3 linked regions of the Alligator mississippiensis genome follow. The protein of the gene in region 3 interacts with the protein of the main gene of each other region in a biochemical or structural test. Links are inferred from orthologs where the notes say so. Each region holds a gene or a part of one and is shown on either strand. Other genes may lie near its edges. The genes, in order: MOB1B, AMOT and LATS2.

Evidence for each region.
Region 1: the proteins of LATS2 (region 3) and MOB1B form a complex in vitro, tested with the Homo sapiens proteins (2 studies listed by BioGRID). The link is inferred for Alligator mississippiensis from reciprocal best matches to the Homo sapiens genes LATS2 and MOB1B.
Region 2: of the proteins of LATS2 (region 3) and AMOT, one has a biochemical effect on the other in vitro, tested with the Homo sapiens proteins (3 studies listed by BioGRID). The link is inferred for Alligator mississippiensis from reciprocal best matches to the Homo sapiens genes LATS2 and AMOT.

The regions. Positions count from the first base shown.
Region 1 is NC_081825.1:168,294,537-168,302,363, reverse strand, and holds the start of MOB1B (MOB kinase activator 1B), read left to right. Parts: upstream 1-4,758; 5' UTR 4,759-4,829; coding exon 4,830-4,843; intron 4,844-7,827. UniProt on the Homo sapiens protein: Activator of LATS1/2 in the Hippo signaling pathway which plays a pivotal role in organ size control and tumor suppression by restricting proliferation and promoting apoptosis.
Region 2 is NC_081831.1:66,324,404-66,331,432, forward strand, and holds the start of AMOT (angiomotin), read left to right. Parts: upstream 1-3,967; 5' UTR 3,968-4,072; intron 4,073-7,029.
Region 3 is NC_081824.1:433,394,266-433,401,468, reverse strand, and holds the start of LATS2 (serine/threonine-protein kinase LATS2), read right to left. Parts: upstream 3,058-7,203; 5' UTR 2,934-3,057; intron 1-2,933. UniProt on the Homo sapiens protein: Negative regulator of YAP1 in the Hippo signaling pathway that plays a pivotal role in organ size control and tumor suppression by restricting proliferation and promoting apoptosis.

The sequences.
Region 1 (7,827 bases), on a different chromosome or scaffold from region 3:
TGAAAACTTCCATTTCGAACCAAAGCATTTTTTCACGTTTCAGCTTTAGAACCCTTTCAAAATAATTCTTTATGTTATGTGGTACAGCAGATAACCCAAACTGACAGATGTGAGGCCACTGCTAGATTTAACTTGCCTTTACTTGAGAGCTAAATAGTTCTACACTTACATAACACTGCAGTATGCTGCCAGTCCCTCATATCCTCAGCATCTGGTGTAAGCATCCCTGCTGACTCTTCCCTGGTACAAATAGAACAATAAGACATAAGAACATAAGACATGAAATATATAAGTTATGCAATTATTTCTCATGACACTTAAAGCAAAATGTTTCCTACAGACTGCTTCAGTAACAGGCTTTTTTATTTAGCTTGCTTCTGAAATTAAGATGAAAGAATACTTTTGGGGGGAGGAGATGGAGGTTATTAGTAGGAACCTACTGAATTCATGATTGTGTGATTTCCACAGAAACTGCAAATTCAGATGGGCTCCACAGAAAATGGTGGGCTCTGTGAAAAACAGCAGGCTCGCTGCAAAAAAACCCCAACAACTTACCTGCAAGCAGAGGAGAGTGAAAAGCCCTTCAGTCTTGGAGTAGGAAAGGAAGGTGGGGAGCATGGTGGTGGAAGGAGGACAGTGGAGGGCAGGGGGCAGGCCGGAGGTCAGGCAGACAGCAGGGGGCACGGGTGGAGGATGGGGAGGCGAGGCTGCACAAGCATCTGGACCAAAGCTGTGAGCCAGCTGTGGTAGGCATCTGGAAGGCTGCAAGTGACTGCACCAGGGTCCACAGAGCCTTGGCATAGCTCATTGTGCGCGTGCACCTGCTGGTGGCAACAAGCCATGCCGAGGCCCTGCAGACCCTGGTGCAGCCGCTTGCAGCTTTCCATCTACCAACCAGACCCAGACCCAGACCCGGACCACAGTCCAGCTTGGTGATGGCCAGAAACCTTAATTACCCTGATTAAACCTGGGAAAACATTAATCTATGCTTAATAATGTGTGGATTAATGACTTCCCTGGGCTTAATCAGGGTAATTACATCAAGTTTCAAACCATCTGGCAATCTGTGGGGAGGGATGGAGCGGGACTGGCAGGGCCCCTTGGCCAATCAGAGATGTGGGCAGGTGGGGGACGGGGATGGGAGACTGCTGTGCTCAGCCCATGAAAATGGCAGCTGGACCCAGGATCTGCCCATGAATTCGGTCAGCCGTTTGGTAGAACCCCTAGTCAAACATGAATACACCAGAATTTGGTAAAGGAGTTTGTAACCTTTTTTTAAGTATACAACATCATTTACCTAGCCACCAATTCTACCATATTATCTTGATATTAATTATCAAAAATATACTGAATCCCACATTTAATAATGTGTTTTTACTAGCAGTGCCCAAAAGGGGAACAAAATACAATATCATGTGAAACAGTATCTGATTATCTCCAGTCACCCAACAGACTTTTATATGTTCAACTTGTCTTAAATACAGCATTTGAAAACATAATTATCAGTTGCTCAGAGATGCTCCAGACAGATATTCGGACTTAGCCTGGAACACAAAAAGTCCATCTGAGCATTTGAATGCAGAAGGAAGACAGAAGGTTGTAACTGTTCAGAAAAATCTAGAATGGATCCTATACAAACTTAAACATTCTAAGTTAAATTCTGAAATCTTTCAGCAATATCTAACTTGCCTTACAACAACCTGGAAAGTTGCACCTTGTCTTATATGTGTGGACTCTAGACTCAACTGGAGCCCCCAAGAAGTCATCAGGAATTTTGTGTCATTCACTTACACAGATATAACATTTCACATGATTTCTATAGCCTTATATTGCATTTTCTGCTGTAAACCAGCACTTGGATATATCACCATAGAACTGTTTTGCTTCCTTTTTTACATTAATGCAATTAATATTTTATTCTAAACCATTCCATATGTTTTTACTTTTTGGCTTACACTAGAACAGATGCAGCAACTGAGTGAGAAACCCACAAGACAATGGGAGCCTCATTCCTGAGTTAGACAAATTGTTATAGAAGGGAGAGAGACCCAAGACATATTTCATAGAGATCCAAAATGTAACTTGATGCTATTCTTCAGTGCTTTGATCTATATTTTTTGAGCTACTGGGCACCTCTTGAGATATTTTATGCACCCTCAGTTCCCATCTAGCATCTCAAAGGAGTGGCTCTCTTTAAAGAAACCATGATTCAATCTAGTTCCTCTTGCAATCAAATACTATGATTGCATTTATTACTTGAAAAGGGGTGTGTGTGTGTGTGTGTGTGTGCGCGCGCACGCACGTATGTGTGCGCATGCACACAAACATGCATATGTACATACATACATACTCATGTGTGTGCGCATAAACCCCCTGTAAATAGGGGAACACACTCCCCCTCCGTGCTTCTTTAGGGGAAAAATCATTAAGGCATGGGTCAGGTAAAGGCAGTATTGGCAGTTTGCCCAGAGCCTCAAGGCAGGAATCAGTTTGCACAAACTGAAGTATGTTGTAACTCCCTTATCTTTAATTCAGAGGTGTGGTCCTAACTGGCTCCTGGCTTTTGCTGATTTGGTTCAAGATTGCCTGCTAACCTGGGTTTGCTGGCTTGGTTAATTTTTTTAAAGCCATTTTGATGTCTTTATGTAGAAAAGGAGACAGTATCATAAATGTAGTAGAGCAGAAATGCACAGAATTCCTTTGAACAAGTACCTCAACCTTTCTGTGCTATAGCTTCCCTACCAGCAAAATGGAGATAATATTATTTACTTATCTCATAAAGGAATCTATGAGGCATCATAAATATTTCTGAAGTACCTGGTGCTATAGAGGAAAAATAATGCATTCCTATGTCCTGCAAACTTAGCTCCCAGGATATCAATGTGTTATTAAATTCCCTTTGGGAGTGAGGGAGCACAGCTAGGCTACAGTATAACATTATGTATTTTTCATGATTGTCCTGCAACTGCTCGTAAGTGTAAATGTACCCAGCAGCTCTAGTGCATTGCTCTATTAAACAGGAAGGTTGCCTAGCAAAGGGGCCTACACTTGGGGTCTAAACAAGCCGACATGGGATAATTTCAGAGGCTTATCTGAACTTCCTATGATAATGTTCTCAGTCCACACGATCTGAACTGAGGTGTTAGGAGAAGTGGGCATTGGGAGACCTTGCTGTTGGAGATAGGATATTTTGAGAAGGATTTGGTGTTTGAGGTAGCACTGAGGTTTAAAGGGACTCTGAGTTTTAAGAAAGGCCTATGGGAAGATGGTAAAGAGTTTGAATGGGAAAGTGTTTGGATGTCTTGTGGAAAGTGCGGAGTGGGAAATGGGGCCTCAAAATAAGTTAATAAGTCCATTTGTTGTAAAGAATCCTCACTTGTCCCCACAGTGTCCCGTTGCCTCACAATCATTTTGCTGGTTGCTGCATGGGGCTGGGAGGGAATTTTGCCCCCCACCCGGTCAGGGTTTTTTAAGCCTTCTTCAGGGGTACTGAGTGTTGGCTGCAGCCAAGGCTGGGGATTTTGACTGTGGTGTGCCAGTGCTCCTGGTGGGACTTAAACCTGGAGGATCCTGGCTGGAGAGTTTTGCACCATTGCTCAGGATCAGAGCAATCACTATATTTGGGGTCAGGAAGGAATTTTCCAGGGTCAGTTTGGTGTGGGCTGGGGGGGCAGTGTTGCTTTTCTCTGTAGCAGGGGGCACAACCCTCTTCCTGGGATCTCTTGAGTGTATATTAACCTTTACAGAAGCAGGACCTTGGCTGCCTCGGCCCTCCTGCTTTACCTGTGGCAGGTTAGGATGTTATGTCTCGTATTGTCAGGGTTGACTGTGCAGTTTTGGACAGGCTGTCCAATGGATTTACATCAGATGGTTTAGATAGGAATGGTCCTGCCTCAGGCAGGGGTTGGTCGTGCTGATCCCTGGAGGTCTCCTCCAGCCCTGCTTCTCTGTGATTCTGATTCGTGGACCTTAGCTTCAGAATCCCACTTCTGTGAAATACAGAGATGACAAGCCCTATCCACGTAGCAGAGGAGAGGCTGGGAGACAGGGATTCAGTGACTTGCCTAAGGATAAATGGAAACCTTGTGACTGCGCTGAGAACCAAACTGAGGTGTTCAGGATCCCAATCTACTGCCCAGGTGACTAGACTTTCCCACTGGCAGGTGGTGCTACAGGCATCGGAGCTGGGGAGGACTGGCCGCAGTTCAGAGATGGCAAGAAGAAGGCAGTGAGGTCTTTTTCTCGGAAAAAAAAGTAGATGGGGCTTTAGGTGGGAGAGGTGACTGGTGCCCCGAGTCTGGGGGGGCACCCGCAGAAACTGGTGTCAGCGTTGGGGACCGTGAGCACCCACAGAAGCCGGTGTTGGCGTTGGGGGACAGCCCAACGTGGGGGGGAGCATGCGCCGCCCCTAGCAGCAGCCCATGGGGCTAATGAAGGCTTTGGGGTGCGGGTGCTGGGCGGGTGAGGAAGGAAGCAGTGCTAGTGGAGAGACCCGCGGTGTTTTGGGCAGATCTCGGCCAAGATGGCATCAGTCAAGGACGGGGACGTTCAGGGCTTGGGAAAGGCTCGGGGCTGGAGATGGCAGGTGTCTGGAGTAGGTGAGAAGCGAGCAGGGCCGGCGGCGGCACGTTGCGGAAGAGCAGCGGCGGTGCCCGGCCCGGGCCCGTGTGGAGCGGGTGCCGGGCAACGTGGGGGCGGGGCGGGGCGGGGCTGGAGGCGGCCCCGGGCGGCCGGTGTCCGCGCCCCGCCCCGCCCCGCCCCCGCGGCGCCCCCACACGCCGCCCTGCGCCGCCGCTGGGAGCCGCCGGGCCCGCTCTGCCGCCATCGCCATGAGCTTCTTATTGTGAGTAGCGCCCACCCCGCAGGGGGCAGCCCCGGCCTGTCCCTCCCCTCCTCTCCAGCCGGCAGGAAATGGTCGCGGCCGGCCCTGGGCTGCCGTGCGGTCCTGCTGCAGCCTCTGTCCGCCGCCCGCCCCCTGAGGCGTGGGCCTCGGACAGCCGTAGTGCCGGGCAGTCGCCCCGCCAGCCCGCGGCGCTGGGGCCGCCTGTGAGGAGCCCGACTCGGACAATGCGGCCGCGGCCCCGCTTTGTGTCCGGGCGCCGAGCCGGCCCCGGTCCCGGCCGCGGGCAGAGCGGGCCGCCGACGCCTCTGTGCAGCTTCGCCGCGGCCCGTGCTCGCCTCCCCATGGCCGGGCTTCCCCCAAGCCCAGCACAGGAAAGCTGGGTCTCTGCAAGGGGAAGTTTGTGACTCCTCGGGGCCCACGACCCCAGCCGTCCGCATGCGTCTCGGGGCACGGGGAGGGCACGGCACCGGCCGTCTGCGCCCTGGGGAAGCGCGCGGCCACACTTTGCTCCTTGAGCTTGACAGTGCGCTGCTAAAAAAAACAATAAAAAATCCCTCGAATGCGCGGGGCCTTCAAGGTGACAGAGAACAAACCCTTGCCCCTGTTAATGGAGAGGAGAGGGAGAGCTTCTCAAATGGTGTTTCTGCCAAGCCTGCTCCGAATCGGAGGGACGGGTACCTGCTTTGTGAGGAAATGCGGTGTAGTTGGGGGGCTGTACGGATGATGCATTTATGAGCCAGTTTGTGGAACGGCAATGTGTAGGTACCAGACAATGAGACCCTTTTCTCCTCTCCTCGACTGGAACCAACACCGTGTTTTCTTTCCTCTATGGGTTTTTAATATGAGGCATAGAGGCTGGTGTGTGTGAACGTAGCTTATTTTGCTGTAGTAAACATTAGGAATTAAAACTGAAGTCTGGGCTCGGATACTCTGTATGCAGGAGATGTATATACTACAATAAAGCCAAGGGGGTAAGAGGATTCAGGCTGGATGGATGTTGCTAATAAGAAGGCTGTTGTTTACTGGAAATATATACAAAGCTTCCATAGGAAATAATGACAGATCACAAGACTTATGGTTTTGCTATTTAGCTTTGTGGACCCGAGTGGAACTAAATGAACTTTGTTCCCTCCCCTTGGGAGTGGAGACAAGGTACTTAAGACAATTAATGTAAATGGGTTCAGTGACCTAGTGACTAATCAGAGGGTACCCTCCAGGGAAAAATGGGGAAAATGGCAGCTGAAAAAGCCACCCCCATATAGTTAAACTCCACATGGGGCTTGATCCAACAAGACTCATTTGTGCTTAAATTTAAGCATATGTTTAAGCCTCCAATGATATCAGTGTTATAACAGCATTTCTCAACCTGCAGGTCATGATCCCAAAATAGGCCACAACAATACATGAAAGGGTTGTGAGCAAACTCAAAAAATGGATCAACAAACTTTAAAAATGGATTCTCCTTTAAAGGAGCAAAATGTGGGGAACCGCAGCTTTTCCCTTGCAGGCTGGCAGAGTTCCAGCCTGCGAGGGGCTGCTTGGGACTCCCTCGTGCCCCACGCACTACGAGTCTAGGGGCAATGGGTCGGGAGTGAGGGGCACTGGGCTAGGACTGGCTATCAATGTTTACAAATGGATCCTGGTACAAAAAAGGCTGAGAACCACTGATCCAAAGCAATGCCTAGCTACACTATACTCCTTGTTTGCTGGTAGATGTGAGGGTGACAGGATTTTTATCAGGATGTTGTCCTTGAATTCTGGTTTGAGCGTTAGAACTTCATAAATCTCAGCATTTGGCCAATTGCTTTCTGAAAAACATGATGCTCCACCCTCTTCTAGCTGCTGCGAGGGAAAAATTAGTTTATGGTTTCATTTCTTTTTCCAGAGCCTTCTGGCTTTTGGGGTCAGCTAAAGCATGTCTCTGCTATTCTGCTATTTTTCCCTAGCTTCGAGTGTTTTGTCTTGTCCTGCTGCATCTGTGATCTTGATACCCATTCATATGGGCTTGGCTAAGCTATTGGAGTTGTGCTACCTACTGAGTCTGCAGACCCAACTTATTAACATTTTGAGGGTTATCTTTCAGATTGTACGATCTAGAAACAATTATTTGGCAAATATTTTTTTCCTTTTTTTCCTCTTAAATATTACCTTAAAAGGTTAGTGTTTGTTTTACTCAAAATTTACATTTTTGTTTGCTTGCTTGTTAACTATTTATTATCTTGGTTATCTGTAAAGATATGCAAACTGTTATATAACATGAACATTTTTATGTATTCAGTAGCCCAGTGTTGCATTTTATGCCACAAAGCAAATGCACTTTTGTACAGATACAACTTTATAAAGAAAATTGATCACTGTTCAGGAGCAAAGGTGTAGGTTTTTGTGGTGTTTTTCCCCCCACTCTGCACTCCAGTCGTACCTGTGTTGTCTTTCTCCAACTGGTTATGTGTTTTGTGGGGTTTTTTTTCTGTATTCATCTGAAGTGGTTTTGTTATGAATGCTTTTAGTAACCGTACCATATGGTGTTGCACCAACCTTACGTATGAGTACAGGTTGTATCTTCAGAAACTTTTCTGTAATTCTCAAGTTTGCCACTGAAGCACAGTATCAGAAGCCACATTTTTTCCCTTGCTGACTGTTTTTTCCAGTAATCCAACACTGATATTCGTACAGGACTTAATTATTCAGGAAGCCAAAGATCTCAGAGAAATTCAGAGTATCTTTAGTTTTTATTGATCAGGGACAGGGTTTTTCCATTTTATTGTTAGGGGATAGTTAGCTGTCAGGAGAAAATGTATTGGGTTGATTCTTATCAACGTACAAAGAAAGAAATCAAGGAACATCTTCAAGTTTGAAATCACATTTATTTTGGGAAAATTCTGTCTGTTGCTGTTTATATATAATGTCTAAAATTACTGTCTTGAGAGAAGTTACTGAATTAAGAAGAAAAGAAAAATTGGTCCACTGCTTTGTTTTATAGTGAC
Region 2 (7,029 bases), on a different chromosome or scaffold from region 3:
AACAAGGTGCTTTTCACCCCCTCATCCAAGTCACTAATGAAGATGTTGAACAGCGCAGGTCCGAGGACCGAGCCCTGGGGGATCCCACTTCCCACATCCCTCCAGATCAAAAAAGACCCATCCACCACCACTCTCTGGGTGTGGCCCTCCAGCCAATTTGCGACCCATCTGACATGCTCAAACCAGCGCGGAATCAGGATAGCTGGGGTCAGTACCTCACCCAGACCCAGTTGAACTGGGAAGACTCACAGGGAGAGAGACTGAAGCCAGAGATCCACATTGACGTGAGTCATCGTCCAGAGAAAGGGAAGGGCCAGATCTCTTCACCTAGTTCTGCACCCAAGCCGGGAGTCAGCTGATCAAGTCTTGGTCGTTTCCTCCATAGGGATCAGAAGCCTAAGCTGTGCAGCCAAGATCACACCTGATCGGAGCAGAAAGCTGGCAGGAGAGCCCAAGAAGCCCCAGGAACTAAGGCTAGGCAGTGAACAGACACTGAAGCGAGCCAAGCATTGGACAGGTGAGGAGTAGCTGAACTGCTTACTTTTAATTATCCTTATAAGGGACAGACTCTTGGGTATCCCAGGAACTAAATCTGGCACCTACAGCAACAAGGCTGGGTGAAGATAGGACTTAAAGTAATTAAATCACCAGAGGTATGAGGCAGGAGTGTAGGGGGCTGGAGGAGCTCTCAAAATTTGGCCCTTAAGATCAGTTGGCTGGTCCTGAAGGACACAGTGCTGCACGAGACTGGGATCATTCTTGGTACTGTCCCTGCTCAAGGATTGACTGTTCTCAGACCAGACATCACCGCCTATAAATTTTCCATCAAAGTCATGGCAGGAAAGACTAAGCAAGGGCAGGAGGAGTCTCTCTTGGAGGAGGGAGTGAGCTAAACCTTTCCACAGCCAGAGGCCAGGAATCACCCAGTCACCAAGACTTACTATCCTTTCACAGGTGGTGACTGTGACACTGACAATGGGCTTTGTACTAGGCAGCAGGGAAAATATACATTCAGATTGAATTTTTAAATAAATAAATAGAATTGTCTACTGAATCCAGGGAGAAGAATGATAAATAAATTTGAAATAATTAAACTACCATGTTTTTCCTCGTCCTCAATCTCCCAGGTGCCCAGACCAAGCAGGAGCCATGTAGACATTTGCTGGGCTTGCTTTTAGCTATTATTCATGTTTTGTAGGCTGGGATGCAGACCTCCCACAGCAGCACTGCAGAGGTAAAGAAAGGAGCAAGTCTGTGATCCACAGAAAGACGATGGATTTTGAAAATCTAATACTATAAAAACAAATACCCCACCAGGATTTATACCAAGTCTTTCTTGTCTGCCGGGTGAGTGAGGCCTAATGACAGCACAATTCATTGGAGTGTCACTCTTGCACTTCTATGTCCTGGATTCCCATGGAGTAACAACAAACATTTCTGATGTGGCTGCCTTCTTGGTATTTACAGTGAAAGGTCAGTGTGTGGCCATTAAACACTAAAAACATATTTTTTCTTCATCAAAGCCACCTCTCGAAAAATCAGTCAAAACTTCAGCGTGGCTGGAACACCCATAAGCAATGATTTTTAGTGTGAGAGCATTTTGTCATCTCATTCTTAAAGTTTGTTCAGCACAATTTAAAACGTTTCTGTATCTGTCTAGCTTATCTAATTGCTATAGTATTCAAGCCTGTGAAACTCACTCTCCTGAGAGTTCTGAAACCTCGCTGTGCCTAGATTTTGATTTGAGATCTTCTTCTATGTAGGCCATCCTACAACAGAGGAAAAGATACCCATGCAGCCTCACCGAAGAACAAAATAGAGAAATGGTCCAACATGAGAACATGAAAGATATCCACTTCATTATCAGCATTTAATTACATTGGTAGGTAAGAGGTCCCAGACATTTGAAACTTTTGGCAAGCCTTATTAGTGTTTTAGCACATAGATATCACTGTAGTTAGATATTTATAAATATCTATAAATATGTAGTTACATATTTATAAATACCTGGATTAGGTCCCTTTGATGACAACCTCTTATACTCTGCTGGATTTGTATCAGTTCTAGATGACCCCTGTACACTTCATGATGACATTCCTTTAGATATGAATCATCATCCTTTTATGTTTTAATTATATTTATTTAGAATATGCTTGGGAGGAAATGATAGCTCAGTACCATTAAACATGAAATACATATAACTCTATATAAATAATCCTATAGAAGATCTGTATTAACGTATGGGGTGCCAAAAAAAGATCACGAGCTGTGGAAGGTATTTTGTGCAGCCTATATTTAACAATAGAAACCACCAAACAAAATAAATAAAGAGGAAGAACTGCAGTCCTTGCTGTTGGGAGTTAGCCAATATTTTAAAATAAAAGTCTTGAAAAGGCTACTGTATTATTTTAGTCTTAGCCTTCGGTGCTGCGTTCACACCAACTTAGAGTGAATTCTTTCATTTATGCTATACCATCAACGAAAAACTAAACCTATGAAAACCATTTAAGTGTACAAACCAAACTCCATCAGGGCAGAAGTGTCAGCACCTTCCTCCCCGAGTCTCTCTAGAAATGTCCAGCCCATTACAGTGGAAAGAAATGTCCATGTTTTTATATTTATAAATATATTAGATTATTGACATGAAAGGCATGTGCCCCTGGAGGTTGGGGGGGCACGACGACTGCCTGCAGGCGGCAGTGACGGCAGCGGGGGCATAGCAGTGACAAGCGGGGAGCTCCCTCAGGCAGCCATGGCAGTGTTGGCAGTGGAGCAGACCAGGCGGGGAGGGCGAGCACTGAACAGTGGTCGGTGACCACCTGCAGACGCTGTTGGCAGCAGTGACCACCTGCAGATGCCACCGGCGGTGTAGGTGGCAAGGTGGGGGGTGGTGAGCGGTGACCGCCCGCAGGCCCCGCTGGCAGTGTCAGTTGTGCTTCTGTCAGGGGGTGCATGTGCACTTGTGTGCACCCCCTACGCATTGCCAACGGTAGGGCATGTCTCTCTGTGTATAAAGCACCGTGCAAAGCAATGTCACACTAACAACGAAAGATCACAAGTAGAAGGCTTTCTGCCTGACCTCAGACTAACAGGGCTAAGTACCTGTCTCCAGTCATGGGTAACATCAGTACTGCATCAACTGTGTGCACACGGGTCACCCGTGACTTGGTTAAGCACCTTTAGAAGTGAGAACCTGACCTGTACAGTCCTTACTGTCCTCTGATGAGTCCACCATCAAAGAGGCCAAATATTGTCATCTGCCGGGGCTGTGATATGGGAAGTGTGCAGTTCTTAAAATATCATTAGCCCTGCATTACACCTTTAGGAAACTGCAGTGGCAGCAGCCATATTCCAGTCAGCAGGTTATAGAGTAGACAGACATGAGAGCTCACACTGTCCTTTCCCATTTCTCACTTTATTTCCCTCCTTAGCGCCTCAAACACGTCCATCATCTGAGGTTTGCTTTAACCAGCAGTTTCTCATCACCAGCACCCCTCCCATTCCCCGGTGCAACTACTGCAGGGAATAGGGATGTTACAGGATGGCATTTAAAATCTTGGTCCTTAACATGGATGTAACAGCTGGAAAGGAGCAGAGCCAGCACCAAGGGAGTTGCCAGCTCCCCAGGAAGACCTAAACAATTGTCTCATGCACCGTGCTTTGGTGACCTCTCTGTTACTCTGACATAAATCATTCCAAGTAATAAGGCTGCTCTTTGTGCATAAAAACCCCAGCACCTGGTTGTTTTTAACCCATTAGGACCTGGCCCATTTTTGATCCATTAGGACCTGGCCTGGACCCCCGAGCCCCACCGCACAGCCAGGGCTGAGATGGAAACAGCTTGTGGTGCAGCTGAGAACTACAGTTCCCAGCAGGCCGTGCGGTGCAGGCTCGCACCGAGCTCTTCTGGGAGTCCTAGTCGGAGCTGCCTGATGAAAGTTAATAACTGAATCTGGGGTAGGCAGTTCCCAGAGCTCCTCGGTGTCTCTCATTGTTATGCTGCCTTTGTCACCTCCAGGGGAAGAGGCTCAAGATGGATGAATGGGATGCTGCTGGGGCAAGGGCCCATGGGGTAAGGAGCCAGGGCACTGCCCTGTGGGGTGCGGAGGGCAGGAGAGGGTCTCCCTGATGCTTGGCTGCACTGTACCTGGCTCTGTCCAGCCGCTGCCTTGGCAGACATCCTCTGCCTGCCTGCTGGGCTGATTGCACTGCTGGTTTGTTATGCATGGGGCATGCTGCGGGCTCAGAGGCAGGGGGAGGCTGCAGGTGCAGCCGGGGAGCAGCCCCCAGCAGCGCAGGGGGAAGGAAGAAGGCGCTGCCTGGCTCTCTGCTGCTGCCCTTTGAACTACTTTGTGTCCACTCACACAAGGGGAGAGGGCTGGGGATGGTGGATGCAGCCACTCAGTCATTCTCCTCCCCCTTCTCCCTTTCCCGGGCTTTAATCTCCAAAGCTTTTGCTGAGACAGGAATGTGCTGCTACCTCCCATGGGGAGAAGAAAGCCCTGCTGGTTTCCTCCCCTCCCCACAGAACCTGGAGTGGGAGTGCGGTGCCCTCCTCCTCACCCCAGACAGAGCAGCCCTGCCCTGCCCTCCCCCTCCATCAGGTCCCCAGAGAGATATGTGCTTCCCTGCTCCCCCCTGCACAGCCCTGCCCACCTCTTACCCCCTGCATTTCAGAGAGAGCCTTGCCACTTGGTTCCTTTTCTGTCCCTGCCACCAGAGTCTAGAGGGATGCAGGCTCTCGCCCACTCCTTCCCAGCCTACGTGGCCAGAGAAGAGCCATATTTCCCTCACCATATTTCTCTCCCTGTGTCCACAGAAAGGCACCCCTGTCCCTCTTGCCCGCTCACCCTCCACACTCACAGCCTAGAGGCCAGAGATAAAAATGGGCTGGGAGCACAGGTGATGCATAGGAAGGGTACAGGGGGGGCACACGCCCCTCCTGAGATTGGCCGCTGCTGACACTGCCGCTGGCATCTGCAGGTGGTCACTGCTCACCAGCCCCCCTCGCTCACCACCGACACTGCCACAACCACCTGCGGACGGTCCTTGCTCGGCCCGCCCTTGCCACCGATGTCACCACAGCCACCTGCAGGCGGTCCCCACTCGCCACTGCCATGCACCTGCCGTTGACACCACCGCCAACACCACCACTGCTGCCTGTGGGCAGTCGCCGTGCTCCCCCAGCCTCAGGAGGCACATGTTGTTCATGGCTGGGAGGATAGCTCAGTGGCTGAGGCACTGGATCAGGGTCCTGGTAACCTGGGTTCACTACCAGGTTTGTCACAGATTCCTTTTGTGACCTAGGACAATTTGCTTCCCTCTCCTCTGTGCCTCCTTAGTTTTTCATCTCTACAGAGGTGATAATCCTTCCCTGCCTCTCAGCAGGACTGTGGACTATTCATGAACTCTACAGTACATGGACAAGAATGGGAGAGTGGAGAAAGTGTTGTCTTGCCTTAAAGCACTGAGCAATACTGAGGTTATGCAGCTCCCCTTTCTTCCTCCATCTCCCACAGTCCAGATGGAGGATGCATCCTTTTCTCTCCCTCCCCTCTCAAGTCTAAAGATTCACAGAAGTTTAGGGCTGGAAGGGACCTTGTGAGATCATTAGGTCCAACCCCCTGCTCTAGGCAGGACAAACTGCTGGGGTCAAATAACTCAGCAAGGTGAGCTTCCAGTCTCCTTTTGAAGATCTCCAGGGTAGATACCTGCACCACCCCCACAGGGAATGTATTTCAGAGAAGGCAGCTGCCCTTCTTTCCTCTTCCTGAGTCCTCCAGAGTCTTTGGGAAGGTGTTAGGTCATCCTAGTCCTCAAACCCTGTAGCATCTACACCAAGATTCTGCTCGGTTTCTTCAGTCCTTACAAGCCCTTTACATTAGAGGTGCACCAATACATTGATCTAATATTGGATTGGCACCAATATAAAGAAAATGGATTGTATTGGAAATCAGGCTGATGCAGCCAATAATGTGGCCAGTAAATGCCCGTGCATGCATGCAGTCGCAGAGCAGCACGCAGGCAGCTAGGAGTACAGCCCGGCAGCTTGGAGACCTGTGTGCAGCTGGTAAGTCTGTTGTGGTGGACGGGGACAGGGGAGGGAAGGGGTGTGGGGAGAAGCAGATCAACACCCCAACGGTGATGGAGGGAGGGAGTGGGGCGGGGCAGGGGCAGGAGCAGGGACAGGGTGTGGGATGGAGCTGCAGCTTGTCCGGGGGATGCAGGGAGGAAGGAGACTCCCACCGTGGTGTGCACCCTGGGAGGGCATGGGGAGTGCGTATGCCCCCGGTTCTGCACGGGGGTGGGAGGCAAGGTATGCTGTAGCTGTGGGCTGGGGGATGCACCGGGCTCTTCCTGGTTTGTGGGGGCTGTGCTCCCAGTGCATGGAGGCTGTGCTTGGGGCTGTCCTCGAGGCTGTGCTTAGGATGGGCAGCTGTGGTGCTGGGAGGGGGGTACAGTGAAATTTGGGGTGGCTGCAGCCCCCCATAACTCCCTCCCAGTGTTGCCACCACCCACCCCAAGTGCAGCCCTGGCCCAACCCTCCCACCACATGCTGGGAAGAGCCTGGTGTAGCCCCAGCCCACAGCTGCAGCCCTCCCATACAGATCCAGGGGCACATGACCCCATACCTTTCTGGGGTGCGTGCAGCTGTGGGAGCCACCCCCTACCCTGTGTCTCCCGGATGAGCCATGGCTCCGTCCAGTGCCCCACCCCACCCCGGCTGGGTAGTGCCTACCCAAGCCCCTGCCCCACTCCCTCCCTCACTGTGGGGCCTTGATCTGCCCTCCCCCCCACCCCATGTCCCTTCTCTCCTCCATCCCCATCCATCACAAATGACTTATCAGCTGCATGCAGCTGTATCAGAAATCGGATCAGTATTGGTCAATATGTCTCCTTAAAAATCGGCTATTAGTATTGGTCCCCAAAATCTCTATCAGTGCACCCCTACTTTACATTCATCAGACTAGGAGCAACTTCCAGCTCTCCAGTTGTCATGTGGGGGACCAAACTGAAAAGTTTGTTAAC
Region 3 (7,203 bases):
AACCCCTCCAAATAAGTACAACATGGAGATACACTGGGTTCAATTCACTCCTGGCATGAGTCAGAGGTATAGCAGCCCAGTATTTTTTAGTCCAGTATCTTAGCTGATCTACCTTCTGCCTCATCTTCACACACATGCACCAGGTGGTGTTGCTGTGGATGGGCCTGGTTGGGCAGGCTCACCCAAATATGAACCTGTACAATGCCTGGTGCAAGTATAAATTCCTTGAGAGTTTTTCACTGTGCCAAGGAGAGCATTTAATGTATAAGGCAGGGTCATAATTTACAATATAAACGATTTGCTGTGATGTCAGAGAGCTGATGGCTGCCTATATGCCTTGCCTATGCGCCTTACGTTGGGACACACTTAAATTTCTGCTCCTAGCACAGCTGACATGTACATATTCCCCTCAAGCAGCAACAAGAGGCCTTATCTATTGCACAAAGTCCCCTGTCTGAGACAAAAGAAAGAAATACATAATAAATGCCCAGTAACAGGATTGTTCTCACTAACCTTATTTTCCTATTCATATTTCTGAGTGACTAATACTTGGGAATGGAGAATACAAGAGACTGAATTTATTCATAGTTCAAGCCTTATGAAAGCACCCTCTGAGCCAACTTCCTCTTACACTGCCACCCCATTGAAGCCAACCCTGACCTTTAGGGACCACCCTCTTCAGGAATGGAGGGTTATTCAGCCGGCATCCTGTCTCCGAGCTGGCCACCTCCCCTGAGCAGCAGACACTTTGCTGCAGCGGAACTCTGACCATTTGTTTCTGAGAATTTCTCCTGTTACTAAAGGAGTCAGCTGCAGGAGCCAAAGCAAAGATTCCTAAAGCTGGCCAGGAATGGGGTCCAATCTGCATGTTACAAGACACAGCCTCAAACTGTGAAACTCAAATTATGAATCTGATGAAACATAAGGCAGTGGGAATAGCAAGATGGCACCAGTGGAAACTGCTTCCTTCCTTAGATCACTTGCATATCATTTCACCTCAGCTGAGTATGCAGAGAAAAGAAAGAACTGGCTCCTCCTATTCTTTATTCAAGTCATAGTTTCATAGTTTCATAGTTGGTAGGGTTGGAAGGGACCTGAGCAGATCATCAAGTCCGACCCCCCGCCATGGCAGGAAAAAGTACTGGGGTCAAATGACCCCAGCAAGGTGTTCGTCTAACCTCCTCTTAAAGACCCTCAGGGTAGGAGCCAGCACCACTTAGCTTGGAAGTTGGTTCCAGATCCTAGCCGCCCTGACTGTGAAGTAGCGCCTCCTGATGTCTAGTCTGAATCTACCCTCTGCCAGCTTGTGACTGTTATTTCTAGTCACTCCTGGTAGTGCTCGGGGGAACAGGGACTCCCCTGATGCCTGCTGGTCCCCTCTGACTAGTTTGTAACAGGCCACTAGATCCCCTCTCAGCCTTCGCTTGTGGAGGCTGAACAGGTTCAGGTCCCTTAGCCTCTCCTTGTAGGGTCTGCCCTGCTGCCCCCTGATCATGTGAGTGGCACTCCTCTGGACCCTCTCAATGCTGTCCACATCCCTCCTGAAGTGCGGCACCCAGAACTGGATGCAGTAAGTACTCCAACTGCGGCCTGACCAGTGCCGCATAGAGGGGGAAGATCACTCTTCAAACCCCTTCAAAGTCAGTGGGAGCTGCAGGTGGGGCTGGCACGGCCAGATCTGGGAAACCTTATTTACAACCGGCTCCTATGTCTGCCATGCAATATAATTTGTCACTTTGCCGTGCAAGGAAACCCATAATGAACATCTCCCTCAAAACAACCCTTTCTTGCAGAGATCTATAGAATCATAGAAATGAAGGAACTTCAAGGGGTCATCTCATCCATCCCCCGGCTCTAATCCAGGATCAGATATACTTAGGCCAGCCTTGACAGATGTTTGTCTAATCTGTTCCTAAACCACCACAAAGATAGGGAAAACACAACATGTCCTGGCAACCAGTTCAGGTGCATCCATGTCTGAGGCTCTGACTCCCACTGGGAGTGGTGACCCCACAGCTCTCTCAAAGGAATTGCTATGCAGTTAATGATACAATGCTAGTGTCTCCACTCCCACACACCTCCCATGTACCACATGTAGAAATGGGATTCTGGCAGAGTGTTGGGGTGAGGGAACAAAAGCCAGCAACAAGGAAGAAAGAAAGAAAGAATTTCTTTACACCTAACTAAGCCCATTCATATATTTTGAGTTTCTTAGTCTTAGGATCTTTGATGCAATCTTCCATTATTATAGGGGAAGGAAGGTGAGGTTTTTTGCTGAAACTTTGCATTCTCTACATAAAACTGTTAAATTGTACTGAACTAATTTTTGACACTACATCCCACATTTCTGCCCATTTTGGAGTGTTCCCCCTCTGGCTCTTTCCAGCTTTGTTTTTTCTTTTCAGTATTATTCACTTAATTTAGTCTGGCTACTCCTGTAACAGCAAGTGACTTGCTTTGGGCAAAACAGTTTGTACACTAGATTTATTGTCTTCATGCTTAGATGTCCATCTTGTAATGTCTTCTGTATATGGGCCCATCCAAGCTTCTCACTCTCTTTTCTCCTCTTTACTTTAAGCTTAGTGTTTTGGAGGAAGTTGATCAAACTGAGCATTCTTGTGAATTTGCGCTTGGCTGCCAAGAATGCAAGTGATTCATCCCTCTGTAAGGAGAAGTGCTGGCAATAAAACCCTCCCGTTCCCCTTTTTTACATGCAAAATACGGTTACTGCTCCAAACAAGTAAATCTTTATACTCAGAACAAAGCGCGCTATTAATTGCATGACAACCAGAATTCTTAAAATACTTTCAAGATCTATTCTTAGAACAAGGAAATATTGTCACCAGAGGCTTGTAATTGATTAGATGTAAATTATAACTACTGGCACAACATATCAAAACGGTACCTCTGCTTCAGATCCCTGACATTTTTACCTTGTCAGCAGCAGGACCAAATTCCAGCAGTTTTTCTTTATGTCATGGAGAACTGAAGACTCTTCCAGGAAACAGCAGAATCTTTTTTGGGGGGTGTGGGGGGAGGGGAAGAGAGGGAAACATGTTATTTGCTTTAATTAGGAGAGAGCAACAGCTGAACTATCTGTTTAGTGCAAGAAATTATCCGGAGTGCAGAACTGGTTGTTGATAACCACGGCGTTAGCATGGCAGTACTGGTGCAGGCTTTAGCGCCACCTACCAAACTCCCAAAGGAATTCACTTCTCTGCAAAGGGCATTCCATTCCAGTGCAACACTTAGTAATATGCAAATTGCTCATCTGATCAACTTCCACATATATGTATCAGGAAATCCTAACATCCCACTCCATTGAATGATAGGCTTTCAAATATATCAGTTGGAGATGTTTGTATTTTGTCTTTGATTTAGCAGGGACATTTTCTCTTATTTGACAGATCCCATTAAGCAAGGCAGCATGGTATTGAATGCACATCATTATGGCTGTGACAACAAGGCTTGTTCATGAGTAATCCAAATTTTTGAGGGCTTGATTAAAGTATATTTGAATTAATCTTATTTTTGCAATGGGGGTTACAAAGCCTAAGCCAGTCCAATAAAGTTTTATTAAACCAAAGCTGTACCTGCTAAAGCCATCTGTAATAAAAGATTTCCTTTCAGCTTGTTTACAACAGTTTCCTGCAGATTGTTCTGCAATTGATTAATTTGTTTCTAAGATGCACAGCCTTTTACTTATGGGCAGCATGTGAAAAAGAGACCAGTGTACTTGTAAGGCAGTTTGAAATATCTCCATTTACTAGACATTTGCATCCACATCCAAACTTTCTAGATGAGATGTATTTGGAATCTGTTATTCCCCAGGATCCATATGAATAGCAGGTCAATTATGTTGGTCAGAAAGAACTTGCTTTAGATTTTATGTGAGTTTTACATTTGTTCACAAATGACCTGTATAATGCTGACATTGCACTGAAAGAGAATGAAGGGTGAAAACTACCCTCCCTGAAGTCAATGGCCAAACTTTGATTTTAATGGGCCAGAATGTACTGGATGCAAAACCCATTTGTGTGTGTCAAATTATAGTAGTTATCACTCAGTATGCCAGATAAAGAATTCCTTTTCAGTCAACAGCTGAAAAGATGCAATTCACTCTTTCAAAAAAACCAGCATCTAAGTTCCTACTTTCTCTTGCTCTATTTTATGATTCCAGGACATTTGGTTTTACTAGAACTATGCCTGTCACTTTTGTTAGGGTGATGTCCCCATTTCTATTGTGCAGTGCATCTTGAAGGAGGTGGGTTGTCATAAAAGAACTGTTATTTCATTTTGAGTTAAAACATCACATAATATAAATTCTCAGCACAAGGCATTTCCTTTCTTTAAGACAAAATAGTTAACAGGTATTGCAATATACATGGAGCAGCAGTTAGAAAATGTGGTTTTACATAGCATATTTTAACACTTCCCAGGTATTTTGTAACAGCTATTACATTGTGGGCCTAAATAGTGTGTATCTGTTGGCTGACATCACTCCACCTAACATCAGAAGAACAGTGGCCAGCAGGATAGAAAAATTGAGACAGTCTGAAGATGTAAGACACCCGCTGTACAACTATCCCACAGCACACAAGTGACTGAAGTCATACAGGAGCTTTCTTACCAGCACCCAACCTCTTGATGCCACACTCAAGGAGACATGACTATGGATATGAAACAAGAAGCTGAAAATATACCTGCAAGCGAAAAAATGGATATTCTGGTGTCTACATCTTTACCACCAGGGGCCGATGAGCCACGGCAAAGGTAGCAATGTCTCAACCGCCTACACAATGGAGTTGGACGCTCCAAGAAATGAATGAAGAAGTGGGGCTATACCATTAGTTCAACCACCTGTGACTGTGGCACAGAGCCTCAGACTATGCAACACCTGCTGCAGTGCCCACTGCTTGAAGGCACATGTACAATGTAAGATCTTGGAAAAAAAAGTATAATAAATTGAGCACAAGCATGTGGAACAAAATGGTCAAATGTGGTGTAGAGATATGAGAAGATTGTGGACATGTAATGACCTTGTAGGCAAAGTATAGTTATAGAGCAGACTTGCACATTGAGCCACAAAGGTTACAATGCTTGCCACATGAAAATGAATAATTTTAGGAACAGAGTTTTGCAAGTTCCTCACAATCTTTAAAAGCAAGAAAAGTAGAATGGCTCACATGACATCAATTTTTGTTATGTAGCATATTGCATTGTCTTCACATTCTTTAGGGTCTAGTGAATCACAGTATAACAGTACAATACTAAATAAAGCTGTGTATATGTCAATTATTATGGTTGTAGCTTGACAAGAGTAGGTGTATTTATCAGCAGTTTTAGTTGCAATAAGAAAGTTGGTGTGCAGTGCCATAAATGATAGTAGATTAAACCCTTGTCTAAAAACCTGCTGCCCTGGAGTAGCAACTAAGAGGAAAATGTCTGGTATGGTGTGTGTGGGACTAACCATGGCCCTATTGTTCTACATCAGAGTCACATGCACTTACACACTGAAAATGTGCAGTAATGTATCTGAGGCTGTACATGAAACTGAGGATGTACATGAAACTGGATACATGAAGGGGAATTCTCAGTTAAATCCTTAGAAACCAACTAGATAAGTATTGGGAGTAGTCCTCTTTTAATATAACTCTACCATGTGAGGAGAAAAAAATGGACCTTTCTGGGGAAGTCCTGAAGTAATGACGGGCCTGATTTTGTAGATCTTATTTATGTAAATAGTCCCTCTGCAGCATAAGGAGGACTCATCATTATCATTTTCAGTAGCTGATGATGACCACATTTCATCTTCTGACAAAAGCATTCAGAGATGCACTCTTGGGTGGCAAAATAAGATTTTTGTCTGCAACGTAGTCACAGACCAAATAGACAGTGGTGGATACTGCAGACTAGCAGGGCTGATCCTGAACCTGAAACTTTGGATTTTGCCGCTGCATTCTTGATGTGTCTATTCGTAGTCATTTCCAGCATCATGGACAACACTGCAACATATTCATAAGCCTTTTGTTCCCAGCTTCAGACATCAATACTGCCTTGACTGAAGGGTCATTTTAGAAGATCCTTTATCTTCTACAAATCGGACCACATCAACATCTACCACAGCACAGTGCTGCATAAAGCATTTCTTAATAAGCTAATTTAAAGATATCCTGATTATATGGCCAGACCATCTTGACTGTGCTTTTATAATCATGCCACCTGTGCTTCACATATTTGCTCACTCCAGTATTTGGAACTTTGTCCTGCCATCTTAATTTCATAATGTTTCTTGGACATGGGTGAGGAGACTTCTCAATAATTGCCACACTGATTGCTTTTCTTCATATGTGTGTGTGCATGGGCACATTTATATCGTCCAATGGCAGCACTGCTCTTTTTTCTTCTGTTTCTAAGATGATGGTACATTTGGTGGCAAGAATTTAACTGGTGAGAGATTGAGGTAGGCAACTTATTGATAGTCTTACTGGTCATGCTTAGTTCCTTGTTGGCAGATTTTTAAAGTGCCTAGGAAGTGTTAGTAAAACTCCATTGACTTCAGGCATGGGTGGTTCCAGGATTTCATGATGAGGAGTGTGGCATACCACATTTCAGATGGTGAGGGGATCGGAGTGAGGCATGGCTGGAGCACCTGGGCCAGTGGGGGACACTAGGGAGCCAGGCAGGGAGTAAAAATACAAAATTGGGACTCTCCTGCCAGCACTATTCCCAGCTGACCCGGGGGGGAGCCCCAGAATTGCTCAGGGTGGTGGACAGGGAGTCCCAGAACCCTGCCCAGGGTGGTGGGTGGGTTGGTATTGACCTGGAAGGACGTGGGCAGTGGGGTCCTGAAGGGCTCGGTCCTTGGACTGATACTCTTCAATGTATTCATCAGTGACTTGGACGAGGGAGTGAAGTGTACTCTGTCCAAGTTTGCAGATGATACAAAACTGTGTGGAGAAGTGGACACACCAGAGGGCAGGGAACAGCTACAGGCAGACCTGGACAGGTTGGACAAATGGGCAGAAAACAACAGAATGAGATTTAACAAGGAGAAATGCAAAGTTCTGCACCTAGGGAGGAAAAATGTCCAGCACACCTACTGCCTAGGGAATGACCTGCTTGGCAGCACGGAAGCAGAAAGGGATCTCAGAGTCCTAGTGGACTCCAAGATGAACATGAGTCGGCAGTGTGATGAAGTCA